Macaca mulatta: one gene and its partners. The protein of the gene in region 2 interacts with the protein of the main gene of each other region in a biochemical or structural test. Links are inferred from orthologs where the notes say so. Each region holds a gene or a part of one and is shown on either strand. Other genes may lie near its edges.

The links.
Region 1: the proteins of ARHGEF12 (region 2) and RPS6KA1 interact in a test that uses a peptide from one of them, tested with the Homo sapiens proteins (2 studies listed by BioGRID and IntAct, with this or other methods). The link is inferred for Macaca mulatta from reciprocal best matches to the Homo sapiens genes ARHGEF12 and RPS6KA1.
Region 3: the proteins of ARHGEF12 (region 2) and IGF1R form a complex in vitro, tested with the Homo sapiens proteins (2 studies listed by BioGRID and IntAct, with this or other methods). The link is inferred for Macaca mulatta from reciprocal best matches to the Homo sapiens genes ARHGEF12 and IGF1R.

Annotation. Positions count from the first base shown.
Region 1 is NC_133406.1:214,441,854-214,446,413, forward strand, and holds the start of RPS6KA1 (ribosomal protein S6 kinase alpha-1), read right to left. Parts: upstream 3,102-4,560; 5' UTR 2,035-3,101; coding exon 1,900-2,034; intron 1,071-1,899; coding exon 954-1,070; intron 748-953; coding exon 666-747; intron 1-665. UniProt on the Homo sapiens protein: Serine/threonine-protein kinase that acts downstream of ERK (MAPK1/ERK2 and MAPK3/ERK1) signaling and mediates mitogenic and stress-induced activation of the transcription factors CREB1, ETV1/ER81 and NR4A1/NUR77, regulates translation through RPS6 and EIF4B phosphorylation, and mediates cellular proliferation, survival, and differentiation by modulating mTOR signaling and repressing pro-apoptotic function of BAD and DAPK1.
Region 2 is NC_133419.1:121,023,087-121,027,849, reverse strand, and holds the start of ARHGEF12 (rho guanine nucleotide exchange factor 12), read right to left. Parts: upstream 3,242-4,763; 5' UTR 1,767-3,241; coding exon 1,735-1,766; intron 1-1,734. UniProt on the Homo sapiens protein: May play a role in the regulation of RhoA GTPase by guanine nucleotide-binding alpha-12 (GNA12) and alpha-13 (GNA13). Acts as guanine nucleotide exchange factor (GEF) for RhoA GTPase and may act as GTPase-activating protein (GAP) for GNA12 and GNA13.
Region 3 is NC_133412.1:89,165,189-89,169,200, forward strand, and holds part of IGF1R (insulin-like growth factor 1 receptor precursor), read left to right. Parts: intron 1-2,937; coding exon 2,938-3,221; intron 3,222-4,012. UniProt on the Homo sapiens protein: Receptor tyrosine kinase which mediates actions of insulin-like growth factor 1 (IGF1). Binds IGF1 with high affinity and IGF2 and insulin (INS) with a lower affinity. The activated IGF1R is involved in cell growth and survival control.

The DNA of each region.
Region 1 (4,560 bases), on a different chromosome or scaffold from region 2:
ATTACAGGTGTGAGCCCCCGCGCCCGGCCGTGACTTTTATTTAAAGGGAGACTTGGTCAAGGAAGGGCACCTGGCTGCGACTCCGCCAGGTCAGTGGTCACACGGGCTCCCAGGCCACGGGGTCAGTGTTCAACCCAAAACCCACTACCAACCATCTCATATCCTTTGTAAGTCCCCAGAACTCTAATCTTGGCCCAGGGTTCCCTTCTGAACCTCTCTGCCATCCAGCTCTGTGGCCCTGCCTGGACTCACCCTCTCTCGCCTGGCCCAGCTGCCTCCCTGGGCTCCCTGCCTCTTCACTCACACCCTTCTCTCAGGCCCCTGAGTTAGGGGCCACAGAGGTCTCCCTCAGACTCTGCTAGCATCAACAGTCAGAACGCCTCTGCTTAACCAGCTAAGTAGCTGAGGGCCCTGCCCTCTGACAAACATATTACATTTACCCTGTTACCACCTTCCAGACCTTCACAGCCAGTCATTGGCACTTGGCTTAGGGGGAGGGGGACTGGGTGGGGAGAGATGGCTGAGAAATAGGCCTGTTTCTCCACCTTTGAACTAGGTGCTCCTGAAGACAGAGCCGTCTCCCTTGCCAGACCCAAGGCCCCTGAAGTCTGGGCTGCCTCCCTCAGCCCAGCCTGGGTTCTGCACAGGGAGGTGTCCCTACTCACCTTTCAGCGTCGCCTTCTTCAGCACCTTCATAGCATACAGGTGCCCGCTGTCAGGCCGGGTGACTTTCCGTACCAGGAAGACCTGAGAAGGCAGAGAGGGAAGCAAGGGCAGAAGATGGGAGAGGTCTGCGCCCAGGCTGACCTCCATCTTCTCTGAGCCCCAAGCTGGTCTTTTTGTTCTCCCTGGGTACCAAGGTGACCTCTGATCCTTTGGGCCCCTAGGTGACCACTGACCCCCACCTCTAACATGACGAGGGTTGCCTTCACAGCCACGGGCTCATGACTCACTTTGCCAAACGATCCCTGGCCCAGAACCTTGAGGAGCTCGAAATGGGATGGATCAGCCTTCTCAGAGCCAGCCTTGACGTGGTGCGTGATGGAGATCTCCTTGAGGACGCCCTCATCCTGATGGAGGGACAGAGCTGGTGGGCATGGTGGGCCCCATCCGGGCAGCAGGAGTTCCCCTGCCCAAGGCCATTCCCACCAGACCTCAGCAGATGAGACCTAAAGGCCCAACAGACGACTTCCCTGAAGGGCCAGCCTCCAAGGTCATTGATTTCAAAAGGGCCTCAAAGGCTGGGGAGGTCAAACAGAAGAGGCACCACTCCTATTGCTCCCGATGCTCTGGCCTGATTAGGCCCAAAGGGATGCCCAGGCATGGCCAGGCTGAGTCAACCTCAGGCTCCGGTTGAGACCCAGAGACCTGCCCCAGGTCTGCCTGTGGGGCTTCCCTCCCCCTGCTGCTTTAGGGTTGCCACAATAGGAAGTAGGTTTGTTCTCATATGGGGAGGTAGAGCTGGGCCTTCGTTCCTGGTCAGGATGGGATGAGGGGATCCCTCTGGTCAGTAGGACAGGGCTGACGTGCACAAAGACCCAAGAGTCACCCAAACTCCCCCATCAACTTGGTAAGTGCTGGCCTGGGGCAGGTCAGAATTAAGGCCAGAGACTGCATGGCTCATCTTCCCAAACTTCCTTCATACAAACCTACTAGAAGCCCCTTGCCACGTCCTAGCCATTCCAGGACTCTACCCTCCCTCTAATCTGCTGCCATTGCCTTGAAGCCCTGAAGTACCTCCTCACTTACCCAGGAAGCAAGTCTGGGCAGGGTCCAGTCACCCCGCAGGGCCAGGCCTGGGCCAGGACAGCCCAAAGCCAGATTACGCTAAGCTGGCTTCCCAGGCACCTGCTGCGAGGGACACAGCCAGGCCAGGACCAGACATCTGGGTACACTCACCGAGTCCCGCTGGGGGCCAGAGCCAGGGCCAGGGACAGGCAGAGAGGTCTGGCTGATCCTGGGCCGCTGCTTCCTGGGCAGCCAGGGGAGCAGGGCCCAGAGCCGCAGACGGGGCGGCTTGGGATCCTGCTCCATCCGCCCAGCAGGGCCACGGCACCATGGCAGGAGCAGGCAGAGTCCGGGGCTGCCGCGGTGGTGGCCGGGACCAAGGCGGATGTGCAGGGTGAGGGCGGGGGCTGGGCCCGGCCCAAGGGAGCCAATCACTCAGGGCCTGTGGTTTCCCAGCACCAGGCCTACACCCTCACCACGTTCCCTTCCTCTCTCTCCCCCACTCCTCAGTGCCCGAGGGCTGCCCTCTGGCCATTCCCCCATCCTCCCTGTGGGTCTGCAAAGGGAAAGCCCTCTGCCAGTGCAGCTGCTGAGCAGACAGGTACCCAACAGCAGCGAGGTACCCAACAGCAAACAGGTAACCAACAGGCAAAGACAGGTGCCTCATATGTGGAGGCAGATGAAGAGAGACACTCAACAGGCAGAAGCAGGCACCCAACAGGTGGAAACAGATGAGAATGGCATCCATCATGTCTGTAATCCTAGCACTCTGGGAGGCCGAGGCAGGCGGATCATGAGGTCAGGAGATCGAGACCATCCTGGCTAACACAATGAAACCCCGTCTCTACTAAAAATACAAAAAATTAGCTGGGTGTGGTGGCGGGCGCCTGTAGTCCCAGCTACTCGGGAGGCTGAGGCAGGAGAATGGTGTGAACTCGGGAGGTGGAGCTTGCAGTGAGCCGAGATCATGCCACTGCACTCCAGCCTGGGCAACAGAGCGAGACTCTGTCTCAAAAAAAAAAAAGAAGAATGGCATCCAACAGGCAGGAGCAGGAGAGAACACATACCCAACAGGCAGGGATGGATAAGGACACGCACCCAACAGGCAGAGGCAGGAGGAATTCATATCCAATAGAAAACAGATGGAGATGTGTACCCAATAAGGGGAAGCAGGAGGGGACTCATATCTAACAGACAGAGGTGGACAGAGACTCATCCCCAATGTGTGTAGGCAGATAAGGATACAAACCCAACAGGCAGAGACAGATGGGGCACAAGCCCAACAGGCAGAGACAGAAGGGGACATGTACCTAATAGGTAAAGACAGATGAGGACATGAACCCAACAGGCAAAGGCAGAAGGAACACATCTCCAATAGGCAGGGACAGAAGAGAATTCCAACCCAACAGGCAATGACAGAAGGGGACATAAACCCAACAGGCAGGCTGGGCACGGTGGCTCACGCCTGTAATCCCAGCACTTTGGGAGGCCAAGGCAGGTGGATCACGAGGTCAGGAGATCGAGATCATCCTGGCCTACATGGTGAAACCCTGTCTCTACTAAAAATACAAAAATTAGCTAGGCGTGGTGGCAGGCGCCTATAGTCTCAGCTACTTGGGAGGATGAGGCTGGAGAATGGCGTGAACCCGGGAGGCAGAGGTTGCAGTGAGCCAAGATCGCGTCAGGGCACTCCAGCCTGGGCAACAGAGCGAGACTGCCTTGGGAAAAAAAAAAAACAAACCTCAACAGGCAATGACAGAGGGGGACATGTATCCAACAGGCAGAGACAGATGGTGACTCGAACCCAACAGGCAATGACAGAAGGGGACATAAACCCAACAGGCAGAGACAGAAGGGGACAGGTATCCAATAGGCAGAGACAGAAGGGGACATGTATCCAATAGGCAGAGACAGATGAAGACATAAACCCAACAGGCAGAGACAGAAGGGGACATGAACAACAGGCACCTAACATGTGACATGTGCCCAACAGGTGAAGTCAGGCACTTATCAAGTGGCGAGAGAGATTGGAACCCAACCACAGACACAGGAAGGCAGCAAAGAGAGACAGCAGGAGAGGCAACGAGCCCCAAGCAGACTGACAATACCTAGGGCAGATAGGTCTGACACCTGGCAGATACACAGGCAGGCAGCAGGGCAGGGATCCCCAGGAAGGGGTTAAGGGCGGAACTGTGGGTTCTTGCTGCTGTACCTGGGGTGGGGAAAGAGATGAGGGGATACAATCTGCAAACTCTCACCATTCAGGAGAGGACTCTGGTATTTCTTACAGACCCACCTCTGAGGTTTTCCATTTCCCTAGGATTTTCCTCCTATGCCAGGACCTGAGGAGGGCCCAGATAGTGGCTGAGAGGACTATCTCCTGAGTGCAATCTGATGTCTTTGACTCTGATCATATCCTAAAAACTGGTATCCTCATTCCAGGAACAGGGAACTGAGGCTCAGAAGACAGTGACTCACCGAGGCTCAAAGCAAACAGTGGCAGAGCTAGCTTGGACCCAGGTGCCTCCCTGCTTACTGCCTGGCCTGGGGTCAGCAGGCATCAAATGCCAGGAAAGGGTGGACAGGTAAATCAGCCAGAGCCACGTCCTGCCCACCCGTCTACCCAAACCCCCTTCTCCTTCAGTACTAGAGTCCACCTGGGACCTCCCACTATAGGTCCTGTCCCTCGGAGACACAATCTTGTCTTCAGGGGAAGATACCTAACCCTCCCTGACAGATGGAGGAGTGGGTGGAACAGCCCCACAAAAACACCAGAGAGCCGCAGTCAAATCAGACCCGAGTGTAACCTCCTGGCAGGACAGGCAAAAAGCC
Region 2 (4,763 bases):
GCCTGGCAAAAACAAAACAAAACAAAAAAACAGGCTTTCAACAATTTCATCCTTATTGAATGTTTATATGCCATCTAAGTTATAAAGAGGATAGAAGTCCCAAGATTCTATTTCCAAGATAACCAGAAGACAAGGAAAATCTCTGAGAAGCAATGCTGAAGAAAAATCATTACTTGAGGGCTTTTAAGTCACTTGTGTGTGGAATGAGTTCGTTCTGTTTCTATAAATTAAACACCTCAGCATCGCAATGAAAACCAACATTACATTAGTTCCTACTAAGACTTTTGTTTACAGGCTCAACAGAAAAAGCCGTAATTGAATGAACCAGGAAAACAATTATCCCCACACCGGTAAAAGTGACTTCTCAGAAATGAAACACCCTGAAAGGGGAAAAATGGGGATAACCAGAAGAAAGCAAGATAAGCATTGTCAATACTTACAGTAAGTGTATTCTTGGAAAAGTTAAAAATTATTTCATTGAAAATGAAAACCCACTTTGAAAAATACACAAAGAGTAAATATAAATGCTTTAAATATTTAACGGACTCTTTTAAGTGAACATTCATGTGATGCTGGAAAGCATCAACAGGAAGAGGAAGTTCTGTTTCTGGAGTAGCTGTTATGGTATGATAATGGAATTTGGCCCTTTTAAAATCAACAAATGAGTCTTACAATTGGGTAAAACTCTTATTAGGAAATTAGACTACTTTGTGCAGAAGCACTATTGTTGCACTTTTTATCAAAGAGCTTTGACCCTCTAATTCAGTTACTTGATCTATTTTTTCATGATATAATAATTTGAAGATTAACTTAAAAATAAAGCAAGCTGACATTTCGGACTGGCATGCAGTGTCATAATGAAATTGAGAAATGAAATGTGGTCAAGGAATCAATATACTTTTTATCCCTTGCCCTATAAACAAAAGTAACTTAGGATAAGCAAACTGTACTTCAACCACACATGGTCTAGCTCCATTCGCCACACACCACCATGCAACACTGGTAAGTGCTATAAAGGACAGACACAGAACTCAACAAATTCAGCTGCGCGCTTATACTATGCTTACGGTTTATCTCTCTTAAACGCCAAGTGTTTCTGGAAGATGAAATATTTAAATACAAGAATTAAAAGCAAATCCCATGATTTACCCTCATTTCTTCAGCTCCTGGACATTGCTTCCAGCAAGAACCTGTGATTTACTGGTAATGTCAACATTCTGGAAAGTTATTAGATAATAATTAAACACTGTGCAGGTCAACATCTCAAAGAGATCAAGTTCCCAGGTCACCATGCAGTAGGCTCAACATTAAGTTCACAGGTAGAAATTCATAAAATGTAATTGTCTTGAGAACCTACTGCAGGACAGGGCTAAAGCTGAGAAATAATACACCAATACCAAGCCGACTTCAGGCACCGACCTTCACCCAAAATGACCTTCTCCTCTGATTTCCAGACGAGTACACAATCCTAATGCACACTACAGGCGGAAAACCACAATAATGGTTTTGCCTCCCCCTTCTCTGAGAATCGGGAGGGAAGTTTCTCTCCGGAAAAATTACATTTCCAAAAGCCAATCAACTGGATAACTCGGCAGCAACCCCAGGCTAACTGCACTGCTCCGAAACAACCCTCTTTCCTCTGCCTGTCAACTTCGCTGGCCAAAGACAATCTGACTCCCCTGCTAGGTCGGGCCCGATTCCGGGAGGCCGAGCGAAGGAGGAATTCATACCAACCTGTCGGTGATAGTAGACTGTGTGCCACTCATTGGGGCCCTTGGCGAGAGGTCCTCCTTTTATCCAACTTGCATTTTACAGTAACACCTCCTCCCCACCCCCAGTGCTCTGGGATCAGGCCCAACTCCGTCAGGGACACAAAAGTCCAACTCAAAACTCCATTCAGTCATCTAGACCATCCGATTGGAAGGGGTCAACGGATGCGGGTTGGAGGAAAACAAGTTATCTCCCAAAACAAACTGAGAAAGCCAGGGAGCGAGTCAGTCCAGAGTGAGTCGAGCTAGCGACAAATCCTCCAGAAGGCACAAGGAGAAACTTCCTCAGAGAGAGAAGTCCGCGCGCCGTGGGAAGGGGACCCGCGACTCCCGCCGGGGCTGGGGCGGGATCAGCTCTGGGACGGGTGTCGGCTCCTCCTCCGGAGTCTCGGGGCCTCGAACTCCCCGCCGCGGCAAGGGCCGGGGCCCTCCCTCCCGGCTCTCTATCTGGGGCTGCCGGCTGCTCCTGGCCGCAGCGTTGGCCGCGTCTCCGGCCGTCCCGCGCCGGGCTCGCGCGGTTCCATGTCCCGGGCCCGGGGCTCCTCCTCTGCTCGCCGCCCCCACCAGGCTCCCGGTGCTGGGACTAGCCGCGGGCGCCGGGGGAGGGTCCCGCGGCCCGAGGTGACAGGGACCCCGGTCTCTCAGCGCCGCGGGCTGCTCCCCATCCCTTTGAGGCCCGGACTCTTCCGCAGTCGCCAGAGGCGGCGGCTCCTCCCCGACGCTCCCCGCGAGGGGCGGGAGATGCCCGTCCGGCCCGGCCTGGAAGCCCTGGTCCGGGAGGCGGAGGCGGAGGCGGCGGCTTCTACCCGCGCAGGGCCGGCTCGCCGGGTTCTGGAGGCCCTCGCGGGAGCGCGCGCAGACAGCGGAGGAGGCCGGCGGCGGTGGGGGCCGCGCAAACGCGGGCGCGCGCGCGGGTTCCGGTTCCGGTTCTGGCTTCCCGGCCCTGGCCGCGTCCGGCGCGAGCTCGCGCTTCCCGTCCCCCGCCGACTTTTTTGGCCCCCTCCCCTCTGACTTCGGGAAGCCGCCTCACCCGGGATCCCTCCGCCGCTCAGGGCTGCGCTCCCGCCCTTGTAAGGACGCCTCCGCCGGAGCCCTGTTTGGGGGAGCGGAAAAGTAGTCCTGCGGGGCGGAGGGAGGTGGGACCCGTGCAGCCCCGGGAGGCCCACCAACCTCCCGCGGCGCCTGGGCCCCTGAGTGCCGAGACGTTGTCTTTCGAGGCCAGTTTGTACTAAGTCTACTTTCACCAGAGACCTCCTGAGAGCGCCCCCCAGATCCCTAGGACATCGTGCTGGGAGGCTCTTTGGAAATTACCAGCCCCCCTTGTCCTGGAAACTTTTATTCCTTAAGGGAATGTACTCTCTCTCCTGCCTTCTGGCTGCAAGCGTTCTACCAGTGCCCGGCCGGCGCCCCTCGCTGCCTCCGCAGGCCCCGCTCACCTGGGCACCTGCCGGCTCCGGGGGGAGAGCGCGGCGGGAGCGGGAGGCGCAGGGCTGAGGGAGAGCAGCTGGGGACTGCAGCCAGGGCTTCTCGGTATAAATATTGCTTTTAGGCTGTTTTTGCCTTGGCAAAATGAAATGTGTTATTTGCCAAATTGAGAAGGCATGGTGCTTTGCATGGCGACTTAACAAGTGTGTTGTGGAAAGAAATGGGAGAAGAAAATGAAGTATATTTATCCAGTAAATAGCATTACGGTTCTCTCTGAAGGGTTCCAAACGTTTTTTCGTTTTTTTCCCCTTCTGGGTAGAGAGATTTAGATACCCATCTAGTTTTATGATTGAATAATTCAGTATTATGGCAATTTAGGTACCACGTATAATGCAGTTCTTCAGTTCTGCCTGCAAACGTCTAAAGAGGCTATTCCCTTTATCCAACTATTTTCAGACTTTTGAGCGTAAACCTATGTTGGTGGCAAGGAATTTCAGCCATTTTGTGGAATCCAAGTAGCAAATCAAATCTAATAAACAGTGGATGTGGAGAGAGGAAACAATTACCTCTTAACAATGCTGTTGCAAAAAGTCATTCCACAACAGTTCATGAAAGGATCATTATCCCCGAATAGAGGCATGAGCTCACACTGACGTTAGTTAGAACGGGGGGGTGGAAAAAAAAAAGGAAAAGATAAACAGAGGCCAGAGACGACTCTTTATTGCTCGATTTTTAGGTTCAAGGCACAGCCAGCTAATTTTGTAATGTTTATTTTTGGAAAGAATAGAAGCAGATTAGCCAAGGCACTTTCCTAATGATGAGACCAGGACACATTGCCACCTGCTGGTGTATCCTAGCATGACAATTCTACCCTGAAGACTCTTAAATTGAGTGTTTACATGTAACTGGAACGAATCCCATTCATCTCTCTCTCTATATATATATACACACTGACCAAAATGCAAACCTTATTCCCAAACTTAATAAATCTTTCTTAAAAGTATTAAATATCTTATTTTCCCCTATTCTAATAATGTTACAGTGTAAGTATCAAATTAATTGAACCCAATGACTCATCAAATCATGCATTTTAAAAATGAGTTCCTCTCTTCCCTTAATACTTGAGGGAAGCCTCAATACTTAAGCTTCAGGAATAAAACAAACTGGGAAAGTTTCCTAATTCACCTTCTCTTCCTTGCATACAAAACCTCTTGGCAAGCTGCTTTCAAGATCTTTCCAAACTTAAACAGACCCACGGTTCTAGCTGTGAGCAAAGAAGGCATTTTGCTGTGGGAAAGCTTCAGAAGATGGTAAGCAAAAGATTGAATTAAGCTGTGGTTATTCATTCCAGAACTAATTTTTTTTTTTAATGATGGAAAATCTCTGTAGTCACCTACAAAGCATTGATGATTTAAAAAACAAACAAACAAACAAAAAACCTGAAAGCCTCTTTAACGCTGCTGGCAGTTCAACTGTTGTAAAGGCTGTAACTATGGATGCCTTCAGAAAGTCAAGCCAGTCTAGGTAGAACACACTCCTCAGGGTCAGTATTTACCTAGAAAAATGACA
Region 3 (4,012 bases), on a different chromosome or scaffold from region 2:
GATGTGGAGCACAAGATTATGTGATGTGGCCGGGCGCGGTGGCTCAAGCCTGTAATCCCAGCACTTTGGGAGGCCGAGACGGGCGGATCACGAGGTCAGGAGATCGAAACCATCCTGGCTAACACGGTGAAATCCCGTCTCTATTAAGAAATACAAAAAACTAGCCGGGCGAGGTGGTGGGCGCCTGTAGTCCCAGCTACTCGGGAGGCTGAGGCCGGAGAATGGCGTGAACCCGGGAGGCGGAGCTTGCAGTGAGCTGAGATCCGGCCACTGCACTCCAGCCTGGGCGACAGAGCGAGACTCCGTCTCAAAAAAAAAAAAAAAAGATTATGTGATGTGTGAAGGCAGAGCCGCGATTGGCACTGATGTTATTAATGCACAGCATTGGTGGTGGTGGGTTCAAAACAAGTTTCCTCTATTCCACTTGAGAAGTGTGTTTATCTGTCCCCCCAGTCCTTCCTTTCTCTCTCCTAAGACAAGTCCAACTTATGATTCTCCTTTCCATGGATGTATATAAAGACAATATTTTGTTCATGGTGAGAGGCCATGCTTTATAAGAAGTTAATGTTTGTTTTTTGCCTCCTACTGAGTTCTGGCGGAGTTGGGTGAAGGAGTGTCCAGCTGACAATATGATTGAATCATAAAGGCTGGCTTTCTATCTTACAAGTGAAATGTCCGAAAACAGATTTGATTTCTTTCAATTCATTCTGAGAATAATTTATTTGTGGGATAAAACCAGTTAAGTAAGATTTAGTTCCTTATAAATTGTCCAGAATATCCTGTATGTTTTGAAGTAGAGTGGAAGCTAGAGTTTGTAAAACCAGTTTCTGAAGTCAGTATTTGGCAGTAAATGCCTTTCTTTGACTACTGTCTTTATTTTGTAAATCACATAGTTTGGTTTAACTAGCTAAAATGTTGACAGATGTTGGAAAGTAAAAGGTTTTCCAATAGGGCTAGGTTGTATCATGGGGTGGAGCGGGGAAAGTTGGCAGTAATGTTTGCTGTTGGGCACACGATTTGGAAATGTAGTTGTTTACCAAAAAATGATGTATGGGCCATTGTGCTTCCCCTGTTCCTGCCTTCCAGATAATGTTCTGTGTCACCTCCCTCCCCTTGTCACTGCCTTGATGTCATCAGCATTGAGAGCTGTGCAATCCCTAAAAGTGTGGTGTTGATAAACAAGTAAACTACTGAGTATACTTAATGATGTAATCCCTGTTAAACGTGGTGGCCGGGCTAGGAGAGGGGTTTTGACACAGAATTATTTTGCAGTGCATCAAACCTAAGCAACTTCTGACAGACACATGTGTATATTGTGTTGGTTTTGAAGGAAGGGCTGGAAATTTGTTGATGTGTTGACAAAGATTTCTGTGGCAGTAAATGTGGTTTCTTGTGTTTTTCCCTTCCAGGAAGCTTGGTTAGCTGGTTGGTTGGTTTGCAGAGTGTGAGGATTGTGGATAATCAGCCTCATGTCCTTACCCTTCCTCCCCCAGTATTGTGAAAGCAAATGTACATGCCCTGACCTTGTGGTTTTCTGCTTGTTGGAATGAACCTGTCTGTGTTGGGCAGTTTATGCCTTTGGTGGGACCCCCATGTGCCACTACACAAAGAAGGACCATGTTTTCCTCAGGGGAATCCATGGGCTGAGAAGACTAGGGAGCCAGAGGCCCTTTCCCCAAGCCCCCTGCTCTCCCCTTCCCAGGTTCTGGCCTAAGGACCAGCCAGAAACCTGCCGAGCGTCAGCCAAACCTGCAAGTGGCTTCTGGGCTGCTCCGTTCCCTGTGTGAGCTTTCCCTGTCTGCTGCTGCTGCCGCTCTCCCCTCCATGGCACTGATGAGCTTCCCATGTTCTGGACTTTCTCATTTCCCTGGGCAGATGGAATTCATCCCATTTACTCCCTGCCTTTTGCCTATTCCTAAGACCAGTGACCCCAGCCAAAGGCCTCAGCCCTGTTTTCTCACCATTGGTCCGTGGCTGACCTGAGGGTTGCCCTTTCTCCATCTGGGTGCTCCTCTCGTATTCTGTTTGTTTTTGTTGGTTCCTGTAAACATTAGGATTCTGTTTTAAGGTTTCTAGGGGGAGCCACAAAGCCCATTTTTTCGTATTTGACCAAAGCAGCAATTAGAGGGTCACATCCTCATGCCTCATCTGCCCTTTTCGGTGTGAATGTCCTCTTTGTGATGACTTTATGCACTCCCTTTTGCTTTTTGGTTGTTCCAGTCTCCATTCAAATCCATGACAAAGACTCTGCCCTCTCGTGGGCAGGACCTTGGTGAGGCCACAGGTGCTCACTGCTGAGTTGGGAGGAGGCCTGGGTGGGCTTCAGGGACCTGCAGAGTGTAGCAAGCACAGATGCTTGGGGTTGGGGGTGGGCCCGCAGCAGAAGCCCCCAAGAAGAGACCTGAGGTCCGTGGGTTGCTAGGCTCCAGGCATCTTTATTTCCACAGTCAGAGCAGATCCAAGGAGCCACCACCATAGGCTTTCATATCCCTCTGCCCCAGGTCTCTGGGGCCTCTGCCACACACCTCACCTCTCCCCTCCTGCCCTAATAAATCTTAGCGCAGCTGGTAGGTTTGCCACCTTTAATGCTTAACCGTAAGGTCTGTGACCAGATGGCTTGAGTGTTCTGATGACACAGCCAGGACTGCCTGGCCAAGAATGGCAGAGACACTGTTTGCCTCTAGGTAAAATCGAAGAACCACTCTGAGAGCCAGGGGGTGGGGGTGAGAGTTTGTGTGCCCATTCTGACACTTGCATAGTAGAAAAAGCAAGATAATGAGGAAGGACATCCCCGTGTTATTCATGCGTTCTTATCCAAGGGGGCTGAATAGCTCCTTCTATTCCATGGTTAAGATTCTTCTGTTACTCTTACTCAAGTCATAGAAAAGACGAAAGAGGTAAAAGCACTTAAAAGCCACATTTATCTCTTCCTTGCAGACCTGAAAGGAAGCGGAGAGATGTCATGCAAGTGGCCAACACCACCATGTCCAGCCGAAGCAGGAACACCACGGTGGCAGACACCTACAACATCACAGATCTGGAAGAGCTAGAGACAGAGTACCCTTTCTTTGAGAGCAGAGTGGATAATAAGGAGAGAACTGTCATTTCTAACCTTCGGCCTTTCACATTGTACCGCATTGATATCCACAGCTGCAACCACGAGGCTGAGAAACTGGGCTGCAGCGCCTCCAACTTTGTCTTTGCAAGGACTATGCCTGCAGGTACGGTATATCCGGGTGGCCCCATTGCCACCTTCCTCACAACCTAGTGGAGAAGATGTGTTTTATGGACAAAGGGTCTGACACCCAGGGCCACAACCCTTAGACTGAGGTCTGCCTGCTAAATAACGTGCGATCATTGGCAGGTGGCGTAGTAGACCAGCTGCCTAGGGAATAGAGCTCATGCTTTCCTAGTGACACCACTCCCAGCCTGGTCTCTCCGTGGAACATGCTGGGAGCAGGGAGCTGTCTGCATGGTCCGCCCTCCACCTGCTACTCGGTGCACATCGTGCACTCCCACTGTCTTTTGCCCCTCTTGTGCACAAATCGGGTTGCGGGGCCCCCCCCCAACCCCGAGCTCTGACATATTCAGAGATGTCTCCAGTTAATTGCCTCGATCCAGAGTAACCAATGCCCCTCAAGATCAAGTCCTGGAGTAGCCTCTGGTCTTGCTTATTTAGCCTTTGGCTTTCCCTTGTTGTTAGACACTGCCTGTCACTCGGGCATTCATCTGTCTTTGAAGGTGGGTGCCTTCAAAGACAACAAGAACTGCCCTGTTCTTTAGGAAGCCTCAGGCGGTAGAAAGAGCATGGAGGTGATAGGAGTCTGGGGCTTGGGGTCCTCCTCCATGCAGTTCTGGCACTGAAGTCCATTGTAGCATGCCTTGAGGCAATCGTCAGGCTCCCTGCCTCAGTTTCCTTAGCCCTCCCAGGAGAGACATAGCCAACTGACCCATCAGGTGCCTTTTGCAGCTGTAACTTTCCGTGACCTTTGCTCATCACCACTTTATTCAC